Drosophila melanogaster: one gene and its partner. The protein of the gene in region 2 interacts with the protein of the main gene of each other region in a biochemical or structural test. Each region holds a gene or a part of one and is shown on either strand. Other genes may lie near its edges.

Region 1 (7,267 bases), on a different chromosome or scaffold from region 2:
CTGGCTCCAGTGTAATTCTAGTGCAGCGCACGCATTCATCGCCCGCTCGACTAAACTCGAGTATCATGGCCTCCTGCCCGCTGATGGTGCAGGCCAACATGTCGGTCCTGGACGCTTCGTTAACGTAATAGGTGCAGGTGACGAGATCCCTGTCCCTATGATCCTCGCCGGGCTCCATGGGCGGCAGGTCGTTGCATATCACCGTCGAGGAGACCTTGAAACTTCCGCTTATGCTCTCCGTTGGCTTATGGAACACGGCATCGATGGCATTGAACATCTTGTCGCGCTGCTGCACAAGCGACAGGTTCACGTCGTGGGGCACAAAAAGTTTGCAGTTGCTTAGGCATTCGTTGTCGGTTACCATCTCCTCCCACAGCTGGACTGGATCCCTGGGATAGAGCTGTGTGAGGTAGGCATTGTCCAGATACTGGCCCACTCGTTCCAAATTGAATTTGCTGCGCGCAGGCGGTGGCGTTTGGGATTGCGAATCCAGTTCATCCTCATCATCGCTGCGATCGTCCAATTCCGGTTCCATGGCGCAGATGAAGTCGGCCATGGCAATGTTCTCCTCCTCGGTGAGCACCAGGTCATCGGGAATCTCCTGATGCGACAGCCGTAGTATTGTGAATATCATCCAGGCGTGAAAGAGCTTCATGTCGTACGCCAACGTGTCGATTGTTCGCTGCAGCTCGTGTACTTTGAGCACAAATCCTCCACAGGCTCGCATCGCTTCGTTGGCCACATCCGGAGAGATTAGGGACTAATGATGACATTAGGATGCCTAATGATTAGTTATAATTAATGGAAAACCAGCAAAGCCTCAACTAACCTCAAAAAAGTGCGACATGCGACCGAAACCCGCGATTGTGTTGAGGAAATAGAACATGTTGATGGCTGCTCCATTCAGTTGCTTGAAAACTAAGCTCTGCAGATTGCTTAAACTAAGGTCCACCGAGTTGGCAATCTTCTTGAAACCCTTCTCGGAAAGAGTCCTGCGAAATGAACATGTCGATATGATGAGCATGAGGATCGACCAATACATTAGCCACTCACTCGAACAAAAACTCCTCTACCTCGAAGGTAGCGAATCCAAAGACGTGCAGCTCCAGAAAATGGGCAGATATCACTCCGTACGGCTGGGAATTGGCGTACCTGGTTAGCTTATTGTCCATTTCCAACTGCACGGTCTCCCAGGCCTCCGTCAAACATTGTTGCGTGTCATTAATATAGCTAAATAGCGCCAAACGATGGTTAGTAACATAACTTATTGGCAAATAAATGTATTACTTTTTGGTTTCTAGGATGTGGGCACAATGCGTTGCCAGCTCCAGCATGGGTGCCATGCAATCCTGCAGCACCTGGTTTTGAAAGTGCAGCAATATCAGCTCCTGACCGTCCCGCAAAAGAGCATAAATGGCATTACAGTCTCCGTTCATCCTCACATCGTACACATCGAACTCGTGCGGATGCAGAATGTGCTGTGTGAGATCGATGCTGCCCGCCTGCAGGGCTCCTAGGAGCAGTAGGTGCACTTTGCCGCTGCGCATTATCACCACCAGAAAGCAAGGTGATCCCTTTGGAAAGGACTTTTGGTCCAGGGTTTTCAGGCACGGATCAATATTGGTCATTGGCTGCAGTTTGGGCAGGAACCTTCGGTGTTTATCCTTGACATTACATGTGTAAGTTCCTAGAATCGTTTATAACACAATCAAATCCCTGTAGCTTATTTCGTATCGCTGGTTTACCTAGGTTCTCCTGCGAGTTGATGGCCTTGCTGAAGTAGACCTTCTTGATGTCGTCCTCGTAAATGAGGCCTGATATTATCGTTCCGCTCTCGGCGTCCAGGAGCGCCACCTTGCCGTTGCTGTAGCCAACCGCCAGGAGTGTCTCGTCCATTTGCCAGCTGAGCGAACGCACCCGCACATCCTCGCCGGGCGTGGGAAAGGTGACAATCTTTTGCCAGTTCAGACGCTGGATGACCACCTCACCTATCCACATGATTGGGATAAGCCCACTGGCAGTTTATTTGGTGATTCTTGGCAATTTCGGAGGCAGACGCTCACCCTTTTCCGTTCCGTAGGCAATTAGATCCATCTTGTTGTTCCACTCCATACGCTCCACAATGCAGGACATGTTGCGGGCGCCCAGCAACTTCATGGAGCTCGTTTGTGCCATCTTTCCACGCTAGAATTGGCTCGCGGCGTCTCTACTGTGCATCAAATATTTCAATATAATAATTTTAGTTTACACTTTGCCGGCTCCTGTTGCAGTCTATCGAATAATATTCCTGCTATCGATCAGAGATGAGCGGAAATAGTAGCTATTACAAATTGGTTTCTCCAATTCTTCAGTCATTTTTGACATTTTATTTGATTTTTGTCAAATGTTTAAACAAAATATTTGTATTAAAACTTCGGGACAGCGAGAAAGAATGTGTATTTATGATTGAAACTTCTTAGATATTTGTACTTATGCACGGCATGGCAAATTATCTGCCAGCACAATTTTGTTTTATTCGTACTTTACTTTAGTCTTACAAACCTACATAGTTTTAAAAGCTTTTGTTTGGAACACATAATGATTTGCGAAACAATGAAAAAATCGGGAAAATCTAAATTAATCGATCTTAATAACTGCCTGTTAGGAAAAAATCTCAAATTCTGGCTATAAAGGCGCTAGGTGGGCAGCACAATTGGCGTCTTTTGATTTCCACACAAAAATATTGGCAATTTCAATGTGTTTTTTTTTAACTTAAAGTGTTAGAAAGCTGGATAGTTGTTAAGATAGAAAGGTGGTCCTTCAGTCTGAGTCGTTCCTCATTGATCAGGTTAAGCGTAGTTTAGGCCAATTGTATTTAACACTGTGATGTTATATGCTTATAAAACATTTATGTGGGTCAAAAATAAAGGTAGATGTTAAAAACAATTTTACAATTGAACTTATAGATTAAGTATGTATATATATGTATATGTATATATGTATATGTATATACTACCGCTGACTGACGCCAGAACTTCAGTTTGTCCAATTTTTTTATCTTAAGGGCTACGCTACGAAATATGTATGTACATATATCGTATAAAGCCGGTGTGTATGTATCCACATAAGCGAGTGAATCCGAAACAGTCATCTGTATCTGCCACTCAACTAGTCATCCGCATCCGGCTGTCCGTTGTCCAGCTCACTACTCTCGTCCGGCTTGATATTCTCGTCTTGATTGATGCTGCCAATGGGGCTGGCCGGTTCGGGATCCTCCTCGTCACCGCCATCTATATTGCTGCCGCCACCGGTGGTGCCAACGCTGCCGGGAGCAGTATCATCGCCGGCCCCACTGCCGCCGACGGAGCCCAGGCCACCGGATGATCCCAAATTGACGGAATTCGTATTCCCATTACCATTGCCGCTGCCCGTGTGCCAGGTGAGGCGCTCCTCATAGAACTGTATGACCACCTGGGGGCATCGAGTGTTGGCCAGCTTGGCGGGCACAAGGTCGGCGTGATCGCTGCCCTTCCACTTCATGAGGAACATTAGGTGCCCGGATGAGTCGGTGGCGCCCAGTATTTTTGATGCCTCCAGACCGCGCTCAAAGCCGATCAGCTTCTTCTGCTCCTCGGTATCGTCCTCCAGGAAGCTCTTGCGCTTGCTGCGTATGGATTCGGGTGTGGAGGAGGTGGACAGGCGTTTCTTTGTCTCCTTCTTGTTGTTCTTCAGCGACTCCTCGAAGTTGGCTATCAGGTCTGGACAGTCGAGATTCTCCACCGGCTCCCAGGTGTTTTCGCTGCGCGGATAGCCCTTCCACTTTAGATAGTATTCCGTTCGTCCGTTCACCGTTCGCTTGTCCTCGACGCGTTCCACTGAGAATTCGGCCATTGTGCTTTTACGCTAATTGTGTTATTCCAACTGCGAATTTTGTTATTTTCTTGGCGTCCAAAACTTATTTATACGTGCGATTAAAGAGATTGAAGAAGAAGAAGAAATCAAGATGGCAACTCCATGGTCTCGCCATCGGCAACTATCGCTCTCTTGGCCAGTAAACGCATTTTAATTAAAAAGCTGAAACTTTAAAAACTTTACAATTGTAATTTTATCATTATCTCTTGACCATTTTTAAATTTTGACATATATATATATTTTTTTTAAATTACCCTTTCTACCATCCCTGTCAGCGATAACTCTCCAGAAATTGGACAATCGATAAACGGCCGTTGCGTTGCACGTGCGCTAGTTTTTAAAGAAATAAACAATATTACTAAGTACGATTAAGGAGAAAACTAAGCAAATATGGCCGAGTTCATAGCTGAGATGCAGGAGCGCCTGCTGCCGGAATACGAGCAGATGAAGAACTACAGCGTATTCACAGCGGATCAGGTCAGGTGAGAAATCCAAACGAATTTGGAGTCTGTGCCCCCATTTCATCCATATTCTTGCAGAGAAATCGTTAGCAGGCGGGAACGCTTGTTCCTTAAGATCAACAAGAGCCACCAGAGCATCACCGACTACCTGGACTTCATACTGTACGAGAAGCACATGCACATGACCATCGTGGACAAGGAAAAGAAGATGCACGTTAAACTCACCGGTCTAAAGGCCTCCATAGCCACGCGGATCATGCGCCTGTACAGAGAGGCCTTGGCTAAGTTTAACCACGACAGACGGCTGTGGAGCAACTGGATCAAGTTCAGCAGGAAGTCAAATCCTGTCGAGGTGGCGGGCATATACGAGAAGATGCTGCTGGTTAGTATTTGCCAGCCTGCTCACTTCCATTGATTACTTATCCATTGTTGTTATTCTTTTGCAGTACCATGGCGACTCGCCGGATCTTTGGGTGGACGCCGCCTTATGGCTGTACGAGTTCAATCGGCTCAACATCGATCGAGTCAAGGACATCCTGCTGCGTGGCTTGCAGAGACATCCGGATTCCGAGGCACTTAACAAGTGCTTCTTTGACATTATGCTGAAAGAGGCTGCCCTGGCCAGCAACGAACGCAATTTAGCCGAGAATACGCTCTCGGAACAGGACATCAAATTGGAACGCGTGGAGGCGGTCTACCGCAACAGCATGGCCAATATTACCCAATTGGACTACTTTGTTAAGCTTCTAGAAAGCTGTGAGGATCATCAGGAGCTGACGGGCAAGCTGCAGCGAATGATAATCGATGATATGCAAGAGAAGTTCCCCCGGGAGCCGGGCCTGTGGGATTTGCTTGCCCAGCGAGAGTTGCGCGGCTTTCATCTGGGCGACCTGGAGGAGGAGGACTTGGATACCAGTGACGAAGAGCCGGCCAGCAAGAAATCTCGTTCCGTAAATGGCCGCTCTCTCAAGCGACGCATTCAACTCTGCGTTACTGTATACAAATCGGCGGTGGAGGAGCTGCAAACGACAGAAATGTGGAATATGTATTTGGATGCCATGCTGGCACTCAATAGCGATGGAAAGACGGAGCGTATACTAAAGCAACAGTGCCTAGCGGATGCCTTGCAGGCGGGCCATCGCTCTCAGTTGATGGGCGTGAAACACTATGCCACATTAAGAAAGATGCTCTGCACTGCTCCGAGTGGAAGGGAGGCAGCTGTCACCATACTCACGGAAGCCCTGAAAAACGATTCATCGGTGGAGATGCACGAGCTTCTTCTGGCCACGCACATTCAAAGCGACAGTGAGCCCTTGATCTATGAGCTATTCAACAAGATCCAGAAGAGCATGGGCAGTGAGGCGTTGCCGCTGTGGCGCAGTGTCATTCTGTATTATCGCACTCGGCAGGATAGCTTGGGCGCACGCCGGCTGGATGAGATCTACGGTCTCGCCTGCAAGGCTGCGTGGCCGGAATTTGGTGAGCTGCGCTCCGATTATTTGCGCTATCTGTGGCAGGAGCGGTCTGTCGAGGAAGCACGCAAGGAGTACGCCAAGCTGGCCATTCTACCGCCCATGTCGTTGGCGCTGCACCGCCAAATGGTTCAGCTGGAGTCCAGTGCGGCAGCTTGTGTATGTTTTGTTATCTTTGCTACTTTGGCATATAATTGCGAGGCGCAACTAATTTACTTTATCTGTTGCAGGACCAGGCCAGCCTGAAATACTGGCGCATGTGCTACGACTTTATGGCCTGCTATTTCGGCAAGACACAGCCGCGCGTTTGGGTGGAGTATCTCGCCTTCGAGCGAGATCACGGCGAGGCGAAGAACATCTCCCTGCTCACCCAGCGGGCTCTCAGCACCCTAGAGCCTCAATATGTCGCCGCGTTTGAGGCGGAACGGGCACTGGCCTATGTGGGCGCATCGATATAGTTGGCTAAATAGTTTATTTGTGCTTCTGTTTTTTTCATTAACTTAATTTCTAAGTCGATCTTTCGGACTGTCTATAGTGATTCGATTCTAAAATAAGGACTTGTGAATATACAGCTTATAAGATAATTTATGAAATCTGATTTTTACTTTGGCAATATGCAGGTGTGTGAATTCAAAGTACAGTCATATGGAAAAGTTCTCATTTAACCATCCTATTGTTGAAATGTCCTTTTCAAAAGCGGTTAAATTATGAGTAATGCTATACGAGAATATCCTTTAACCTCTTCCGTCGACGGATGTGCTCATAAATCCGAGCTAATTGCGTTTTCCGAAGGTAAACAAAAACATGGGCATTAACTTTGCCTGCCTGACGCCGCTGCCGCCGCCGACAGCGCTGCCGACGTCGACGCCACTGGAGCTTTGAAAGCGAGTGGCGGCAGAGCAGTTGGCCAGTTCACTTGCGTACGCCGTGGCATCAACACGCACCAGCAAAATCAAGCGCATCCAGTCGACCCAATCCAGTTCCATTCCATAAAAGCCAACGAAAGCGAAATCTCAACCGAGCGTCATGGAGTTCAACAATCGCCTCTTGCTGAAGATCATCGAGCTGGTGAGTAATTGTATTTAAACTAGATCCGAAGGAGACACCTTGTTAACAACACAGTATTAGTTAGTTGATCATCCAAAATACAGACAATTAAATTGCTCATTAAAACTTTTTAATGTTGCAACAGCGATTTGAAGTTGATTTTGTTTAAAAAAGTAATTAAATTGCTGTGTCATAAGAATATTGATAGACACATTGAAAAATTGCATATTATTTATTAAAAACAATATATTATTATTATGAGTAAACTTCAAATCTCAAGGCACTTGAATAGTCACTAAAAACTTGAAGTTTTCAATTTTGATTTGTAACATTTATTATTATATTCATTTGGCTAACTGTATATATATGAATATGGTTATTAAAATCAAATTGAGT
Region 2 (8,259 bases):
GCACCGTGGAGGATTTCCACAAGTTGTACTGCTATCTGTTCTTCGAGTTTGACCGCTTTTGGATGGAGAGCGACCCACGAAACATTATGGACTTCCGCGAGATTTACCAGTCATTTGAAATTACAAAACTAGAGGCCTTGCACAATGATAGCACTATTTTTAAGACCAATTTGGTTGTAGAATCCGTCTAAAAACACGAATAGGTCAATTAATGTGAAAATGAATTTGTATCTCGCTGTATCTGAATAATTTCTAACTCTGACGATATTGGGAATTGATTGAATCAGATCAGGCTGACCATTTTTGTAAATACATGTTTAGAGTGGGGCTAAATAAAATAATTATCTTGTCATTTTTCAATTTAAATTATCAATTCATTTCGCTTCTAAATCACTTTGTAATAAAAAAAAAAGGAATCCTAAAATAAGTATCCAAATACGACAAGCCCTTTTAATTTTTGTATAAATGCAGATTTTATGCGTTTATTTGAGAGCCATATATAATGTATATTTGTATATGTATTCATATATATTTGAATGCAAGTATGTAAATCGTTAAACTAAGCCTGGAATGTCACACAATAATACTTTAAATTCAAGTCGGAGATTGCCCACTGAGACAGAATAAATAATAATTTAAATATCACGCAAAAGCATAAAAACTAAACGAAATAAAATCAGTAGAGATTGCACAAGAAAATATTTTGACGACTAAAGCCTATTTGGTAATGCCATAAGAATGCTCAAGTCAAATCCCGATGCTCAATAGAGCTTGCAAGCTAGTTTTTGGAGTATCCATATAGATAGTATTCGTTGGTCTAGCGATAGAACTTGACTTCCGCCTCGACACAGTCCTTGAGCAGTTCGTCCAGCTCGTCACTGGCGTGATCCTGCAGAGAGAAATAGTTATTTAGCTCGTCCACGCAGGAGAGCTCCAAGCTGCGCAAGTGCTCCAAGGCGGCCGGCTTGCGTTGCGAGTGTAGCTTGTGCAGCAACGTCAAGTCCGCTTCCGCTTGCACTTGGGTTAGCGGCGAGATCCTCGGATTTGGGGCAAAAACGAACGGCTTAAACACAGACTCGGCGGCATTGGGCGTCCCGGTGAACCAATGGCATGAGATTCCCTTCACCGACAGCACCGAAACGGTAGCCGCCCTCGAGCTGCTCGCATTACTGGCGGATCGCAGCGTCTCGAACATGTCGTGCTGGGTATATGTTCCATCGCCAGCTGGCTTGGGACCACACCAATCCACTGCCGGGGCCTGGGCCTCTGCATCGTGAGCAGCGGCAAAACTGGCAGCGTCATCTAATCCCTCGCTTGACTTGTTCACCACAGTGGTCACAGCCAGTCCTCCGGAGGGCAAACGCAAGAAGCTGGCCTCCAATTTCTCAGCGGCCCATACCTTGCCAGAGCAACTCACAAGCCAGGCAGCAGCTGCATCGCAAGCGATGAAGTTTAGTTTGGAGTTGTCGTGACCGTGACTGGCCACCAAAGCTCCAATCCGGTCTACAGCATCGTCCACATCTTTGGCGACAGCCAAAGTCAAGCTACAAAAAAGTTATTAGATGATTTATTATTTCATGATTTATAATAATTGTAAAAGCCTTAGTTTCTCGACAACATTAAATTTCTGATTGATTCGTTTTTAATTAACTTATGAAATAATGTTGAAATAATAGTATCTTCAAGCATTAATAAGCCCTAAAGGACACGAAAGGATTGGAATGCTAATTACAAACATCAGCCACAAAATGTCATCCTTTGAATAAGTATTTACGTTCTGCATTATATAGACTTCATATGTACATACATTTTTAGTGATGAAAGTTATTTATATTAAGTGCAAATAATTTGCTTTGTTGTGCATAGTTTGTTGATACGCAGATATTGAAAGAGAACTTACCGCACTATATCCGTGCCCAGCAGGCTGTCGCTGTCCTTGGCCTCGTTTTCACCTGCCGCCCAGGTAAGACCTAGGGCCACTCCGCGTTCATTGGCCCCGAAGTCCCCACCCCAGAGACCCGGCTGCGGTTTTTGCAATATAACACGCAACATATCGCCGCCTGTCTCGGCAGAAGCTCCACCGTCAGTCTGAAATGTGAGGTGTTTGGGTGGTGAGTCATTGATCGAGCTTCGTTTTCGGAGGAGTCTGTCTTTACCTTCCCCTCAAGCACTTCGGTGGCATCGTAGAAGCAAACCTCCGAAGCAACGTTGACGTTTTTTTCGTCCTCCGCATTGCGACCGATGATCAAAGTTCCTTCGGCACAGTTCTCGGGCAGAACAACAAAGCAGTCACCGTTGGTCATTTTTATCCGTGCTTTTCTCGCGAAGAAGTTTCTTCAGAAGTGCGCGAGGGAGTTGCAAAATTGATTTTTCCCACAGCTGTTTAAGGTTCAAACGTTATTCAACACTGCCCAATATATATCGTGGAAATGAACCGTGGCGATGAGCCGTTGACTCGTCTGGCAACATCGGACGTTATTTATTTGTTTAGTATGGAGAATTCTAAAAGAACTATAAGGATTAGGTATTTTAGTGTTCTATATATAAAATATTTCCTTATACATCTCCATTATTTAAATGACGAGCATTAATGTTGACAATACTATGATCCAACACCAATAAGAATTCGATTTACTTAAATTACAACCTTCATTTACACCATAATTAGCAGCATTGAATAAGAGAGGGAAGTTATAATGAATATCGGGTTTTCCTTTGAATCTGGAAAAATGCAGACAAGTCGCATCCCATCTCTAAGCATTTTACCCTTCTCTGATAAAGTACCCATCGCTAGAAATCTGCCCATTCGTCTGGTAACCGAGGTTTTTCTTGTTTCGGCGTTAAAATGCTCAAAAACCTGTCTGCATAGAAGGAAAACGCGGAACGTCTCGGAATTGCAAGCTTTTCGCGATATTCGGGCAATTGGAAAAACCGCGCATCCAGCAAAATTGTATCCACTAAGCTGCATTTGTATACAGAGCAGGTGGTGTTGTCTCCCTCTCGCGCCCGCACTGCTCGCTCCCGATGTGCGAGCGAAACAACAACAAACAAGTTACAAGGTGTGTGGAGTGGTGTGTGCTGCTGGTGTTGTTGTAGCTGTAGTTGTAAATACTCGCGCACACAGTGTTGTTGTTGCGCTGGTGGATGGTGTTGTTCAGCGCCTTTTTTGAGTGTTGATTATTTTACTTGCGTGCGTTTGCTACTCGTGGGCGGCTGTGAAGACTGTGAGACGCGGAAAAGTGCTGAGAAAAGCCACGAAAAGCTAGATAAACGCTAACCCACAGCTGCGGGCTGGAAACCATTTATTTAAAGTGCCAAATTGGGTAAAGAAATTTAGAAAATCAATATTCTGTGAGGGTGCTAGCGGCCAATAAGAAACCTCTGCGTGAAAATAGCAAGAAAGTCGAAAGAATTTCAAGTTTTCGATAGACCGCTCCCTGAAAAAAATAGATATTTTCTGTTTTTGTTGTGCGTTGCTTGACGACTTTGACCGCGCGCATTTTCCCCGCCGTGAAACTAGTTTCTTTTTGTTTGGTGGCACACCGCTGATGACGTTTTAAAGCCCTGCTGGCCAGTGAAATTAAAGCAATTGCCCATAAAAATCAATAAATTCAAGCCACGGGTATACACACAATTTGAAGGAAATTTAAGCAGTGCTTTAAGAGACGAGTTGCGGAAACTGGGAGAAACTACCCTCCAGTCCCCAAAAACTCCCCCGAAGGATGTTTTAAATGGGGTACATATATACATGTACACACACCCACCCGTATTCCACCCCCCAAAAGCGCGCCCCCTTTTCCGGCATTTCGTCAACATTAATGTAGCATCTCCCCGCGTGCGTGTGTATGTATCTGTTCTGCCTGACGACAGTGTGTGTTTGCTTGTGTCGAAAGTGCATTGCTCTTCATTACAAAAGCAACGTGCAGAGCGGCCTCGTTTCATATGGCCAAGTGTGTGTGATTTTACACCGTTAAGTTAGAGAACTCCAGCTAACCCGCTGTTGGCAACACGCTGGCTGCGTTTTTCTTTTTCGGCAGTTGGCAACACGCTGACCCAATAACGGTACAACTAGACCCGCACTCTCCTCCGCCGCGATCTCTCGCACAGATGCGCATGCATGAATGAAACAGAAACAGCACCCGCATGCCGTTATTATTATTATTATAATAATTGCCGTTGTTGTTGTGAAATCTCCGCGACCCACATATTTGCGTTCGATCGCACATTGGGACCAAATCGACATCCAATTGGATTCGGGGCAGGGCTGCATTTTCCTGTTTTATTTTTGGTAGCCCATTTAAATCAGGTTCAATGAACCAACACCAGCCCACGGAATGCCGCAGAAGAGAGTGTTTGTGTGTGCGTTGCCCGTTTTGTGAAAGTTAAAAATATTTGTTGTTCGTATTGCTGTGCTAAAACCTCCTATCAATATTCGGTGGCATAGCTGTTTATATTTTCGGCCGTCTTTATTTAAATGATTCGACATACATAATTAGCATGTATTATTAAGCAGCGGCAAAATTACCTTGACATTGAGAGATTATTTGTGTGTGCGTGTAAATGTTCTGCGAACGGGGCTCCATGTGCCATCTCTCTCGCTCTCGCTTCGAAGGCCAAGTTGTAAATACAAGCGCACAATTAGGTATAATATTTTATAGGGCTACTGTTTTTGTTGATGTTATTGTGGAAAAACCGAGTGCGAATGACCTTGCCAATAGACACCTGCCTCGATAGCAGCATATTATCGATAACGAGAAAGGCCGGAACCTCTATCTCAAGATCGTCGACTTCGAGCGGGGTGGAGCGGAGCTCTGATAAAAAATGTTTTATATAGACTCTACGTTCTTTAAATTATTACAAAAATGTGAAAGAAAAAAGTAAAGAGCATGCTTATTTTCTTGATAAGGAAAGCTGAACAAATAAATTTCTTATAAATTTTACTGCTAATTCCATACAAATTTGGTAAAAAGTCGTTGTTTTTATTAGAAATACTATTACAAATAAAATTCAGAAGATTCGTAAGTGCATCATACTTATGTATGTTCAACTTTTCGCTCAACTTTCAACGCTCCTCTGGTAACGTTAATTGGACCCAAATATATTGAGTTTTAAAAATCCTCTTTTTACTTAAGGAAAATTCTTATATTATATATATATATATATATATATATATATATATATATATATATATATATATATATACTTGCAGCTCCAACAAAATTCCGTCTTCATTCAATGCGAAACTGGAGCTAGACTCCAGCAAAGACGACACCATTCACTCCACAAGCTTGAACAAGAAGCTGGTCAAGATTAAAAAGTTCAAGTTGGACGATATGAAGGAGATGGTGGGCGGCTGTTGCGTTTGTTCAGACGAGCGGGGGTGGCCGGAGAACCCGCTCGTCTACTGTGACGGCCAGAACTGTACTGTGGCAGTGCACCAGGCGTGCTATGGCATTGTGACGGTTCCCACTGGACCCTGGTACTGTCGCAAGTGCGAGTCCCAGGAGCGAACCTCTCGCGTCCGATGCGAACTATGTCCCTCGCGGGATGGCGCCCTTAAGAAGACGGATAATAGCGGGTGGGCGCACGTTGTTTGCGCCCTGTACATCCCAGAGGTGCGATTTGGGAATGTGACCACCATGGAGCCCATCATATTGTCATTAATACCGCAGGAGCGGTACTCGAAGAGTAAGCTATGTTTAAATGTTTTATATTTACATATATTATTTAAAAAATGTTACTCATTGAAAAATTATAACCCCTGTTTGTTAAACTAGCCTTAGCTAAATGGCAATAATTAATTACAATCCGTTTCCATTTTCAGCTTGCTATATTTGCCAGGAAATTGGCAAACCAAATCGTGCCAATGTTGGCGCCTGTATGCAGTGCAACAAATCGAATTGCAAGCAGCAGTTCCACGTCACCTGCGCCCAGAGCCTTGGATTGCTCTGCGAGGAGGCTGGTAACTATCTGGATAATGTGAAGTACTGCGGCTACTGTCAGCACCATTACAGCAAACTGGTGCGTATGTGAGGGATAGCATTCGTGATTTTTCCGTTCAAATTCTTGATACTTTGCAGAAAAAGGGCGGCAACGTCAAAACAATACCTCCATATAAACCCATTCAACATGACACCTCTTCCGATTCGTGTTCGTCGCCCGAGAAGGAGATCGATTCAACCATGAACTCCGCGACAACTTCGGCCACAATCATAAAGATTACCAGCAGCAGTGGCAGTGCTGGTGGCAGCAGCAATGTTTTGAATGCAAGCTCCAGTGCTGGAATCTCTGCTGGAAGCAGCAGTGGGAGTGGCGTATCATCTTCCGCAAAGCAGCGCAAGAGCAATGCATCAAGTAAATCATCTAGCAGCAGTAGCAGTAGCTCGTCATCCTCAACAGGAGGGGCTCCCAACCCCTCCTCGAGTTCTGTGCATTCGGGAAGTGCTAGCAATATGACAGGAGGAGGAAGTGTACTACCAGGGAGTAGCAACATCGGCAACATTAGCAATAGTTTAAACAATAATCTGCCCGGAGGCAGTTCGTCCACCAGCAGTGCTGGAAACGTGCCTGGTGGAAGTGGGGGAATTATATCAGCTTCGAGCGGTGGTGCTACGCAATCGACAAGCAGTCAATCGTCAACAGCACCAGGAACCACCAAATCATCGGCCAGCAGTTCGAGCAGTAGTAGCAACAGCTACAAGGAGAAACATAGCAAAAGCTTAAGCAAATCCACATCCAGCAAGGACAAGGATGGAAAAGATAGCTCTACCAATTCAGCGAATAACAATTTCACAAATTCATCTGCATCATCAACATCTTCCAACTCCTCGTCGACACGAGAGAAATCCTCATCAAAGCTTTCTAAGAACAAAGACTCCAATCAAGTACCCAGTGCCACCAGCAGCTTAAGCACAACGAGCAGTATCAACACCCAGCCCAGTTCGTCGACTTCAACTGCTACAGCTGGATCGGGCGGTACTGGGACTCATGTGAGCAGTTCGGCTGCCAGTGGACTTAACTCAGCTCCTTCCACAACCAATGAGCATTCAAATCATGCCCACACCCTTAGCACAAATGGAACCGGAGCCGGAAGCGCAGCCGGAAAGTTGCAATCAGTCAGTAATCTGAGCAACAGTAGTTCTGGTTTTGGATCGGATCTGCGATCAGTCAGCACATCCTCAAGCTCCACTGTGAACGACTCCACCGGAGGATTCGGTAGTAATTCGAATTCAGAAAGGGAGAATTTGTCAGGCGCTGGATCGTCGGCAAGCAACATGCCTGGAACAATAGCTCCTGGTACTGGTGGCGTATCTTCCAGTGCGGCCACTAATCTAAGCACCAATAAGGGAGGCTCTTCGTCATCGACGGCGAATAGCCTTACATCTACGAGCACTTCCTCAGGCAGCTCCTCTAACTCGTCATCGAAAAAACGAAAAGCGGATTCTGCTAAGTCCACTAGCAGTATTTCCACCTCTGGCTCCGCTCTGGAGGATAACAATAGGTGGGGAACGAGAAACGCAAAGAAAAGGTCTTTTACAATTTACATTTTTCAAAATTTGGTAGTTACTTAGTTTACGCCTGATTTTAAAGAAACAAATGGGACTGTGTTGCACATCTATGATTTGCAAAATTGTTAATTTATCGAACACCCGGTGTAGACAACTCTTTTATTTTGTTATTCTAAATAAATTGTAATAATTAGAACATAATGTATATTAAACAGTGCCCAATGTTACTGAGAAACCAGACTTTTTAAATATGTTTTTGTAATTTCATTGAAAAAGGCAACTTTTGGAATCCGTTTCGTTTATTAGAGAATATACTAATACTAAAATAACCCCGTATAAGACCTTTTTCTACTGAAACAATGTATAGAAAAAATCACACTAATATATTTTTCGGTTGTTTCTGTAGCTTAATATCCCGCTATGATATCAAAGATGTTCAAGTTGCACTGACGCCTCTAACAGATTTTGAGAAGGAAATCGAGAAGAGCTCCAAGAGGGTAAGTTGATTTTTTCTTTGTTTATCTTTTAGCATACTATTAATAGAATGATAAACAACTCAGTTATCGTTCCGAAATATTGAGTTAATATAAGCTTTTTTACTTTTAAGGAAACTTGTTTCGGATCTCTTGAGTGATTTTTGCGAAACATTCTCTTAAAGTGTTTTCTCTCTTTTTGGATACAATGTTGCTATATTAATGATGGTTCCCATTATCTTTTACACTTGTATACAACTTGTCATTTAGTTTTTCTC

What was found. Proteins that work in one complex are often made in the same cells at the same time.
Region 1: the proteins of Alh (region 2) and HP1b form a complex in vitro, tested with the Drosophila melanogaster proteins (one study listed by BioGRID).

Annotation. Positions count from the first base shown.
Region 1 is NC_004354.4:9,077,962-9,085,228, reverse strand, and holds HP1b (heterochromatin protein 1b), read right to left. Parts: upstream 3,976-7,267; 5' UTR 3,871-3,975; coding exon 3,148-3,870; 3' UTR 2,483-3,147; downstream 1-2,482. Other genes in the region: APC4 (anaphase promoting complex subunit 4), read right to left, coding at 1-760, 830-992, 1,054-1,230, 1,288-1,687, 1,746-1,988, 2,064-2,175; CG7246 (uncharacterized protein), read left to right, coding at 4,282-4,373, 4,431-4,734, 4,799-5,983, 6,055-6,282; CG44325 (uncharacterized protein), read left to right, coding at 6,851-6,892.
Region 2 is NT_033777.3:7,118,704-7,126,962, reverse strand, and holds the start of Alh (alhambra), read left to right. Parts: upstream 1-2,777; 5' UTR 2,778-3,024; coding exon 3,025-3,059; intron 3,060-3,224; exon of another isoform or gene 3,225-3,323; intron 3,324-5,209; coding exon 5,210-5,688; intron 5,689-5,824; coding exon 5,825-6,021; intron 6,022-6,080; coding exon 6,081-7,501; coding exon of another isoform or gene 7,502-7,528; intron 7,529-7,914; coding exon 7,915-8,005; intron 8,006-8,259. Other genes in the region: CG10068 (uncharacterized protein), read left to right, coding at 1-191; CG10098 (uncharacterized protein), read right to left, coding at 818-1,544, 1,901-2,088, 2,157-2,303.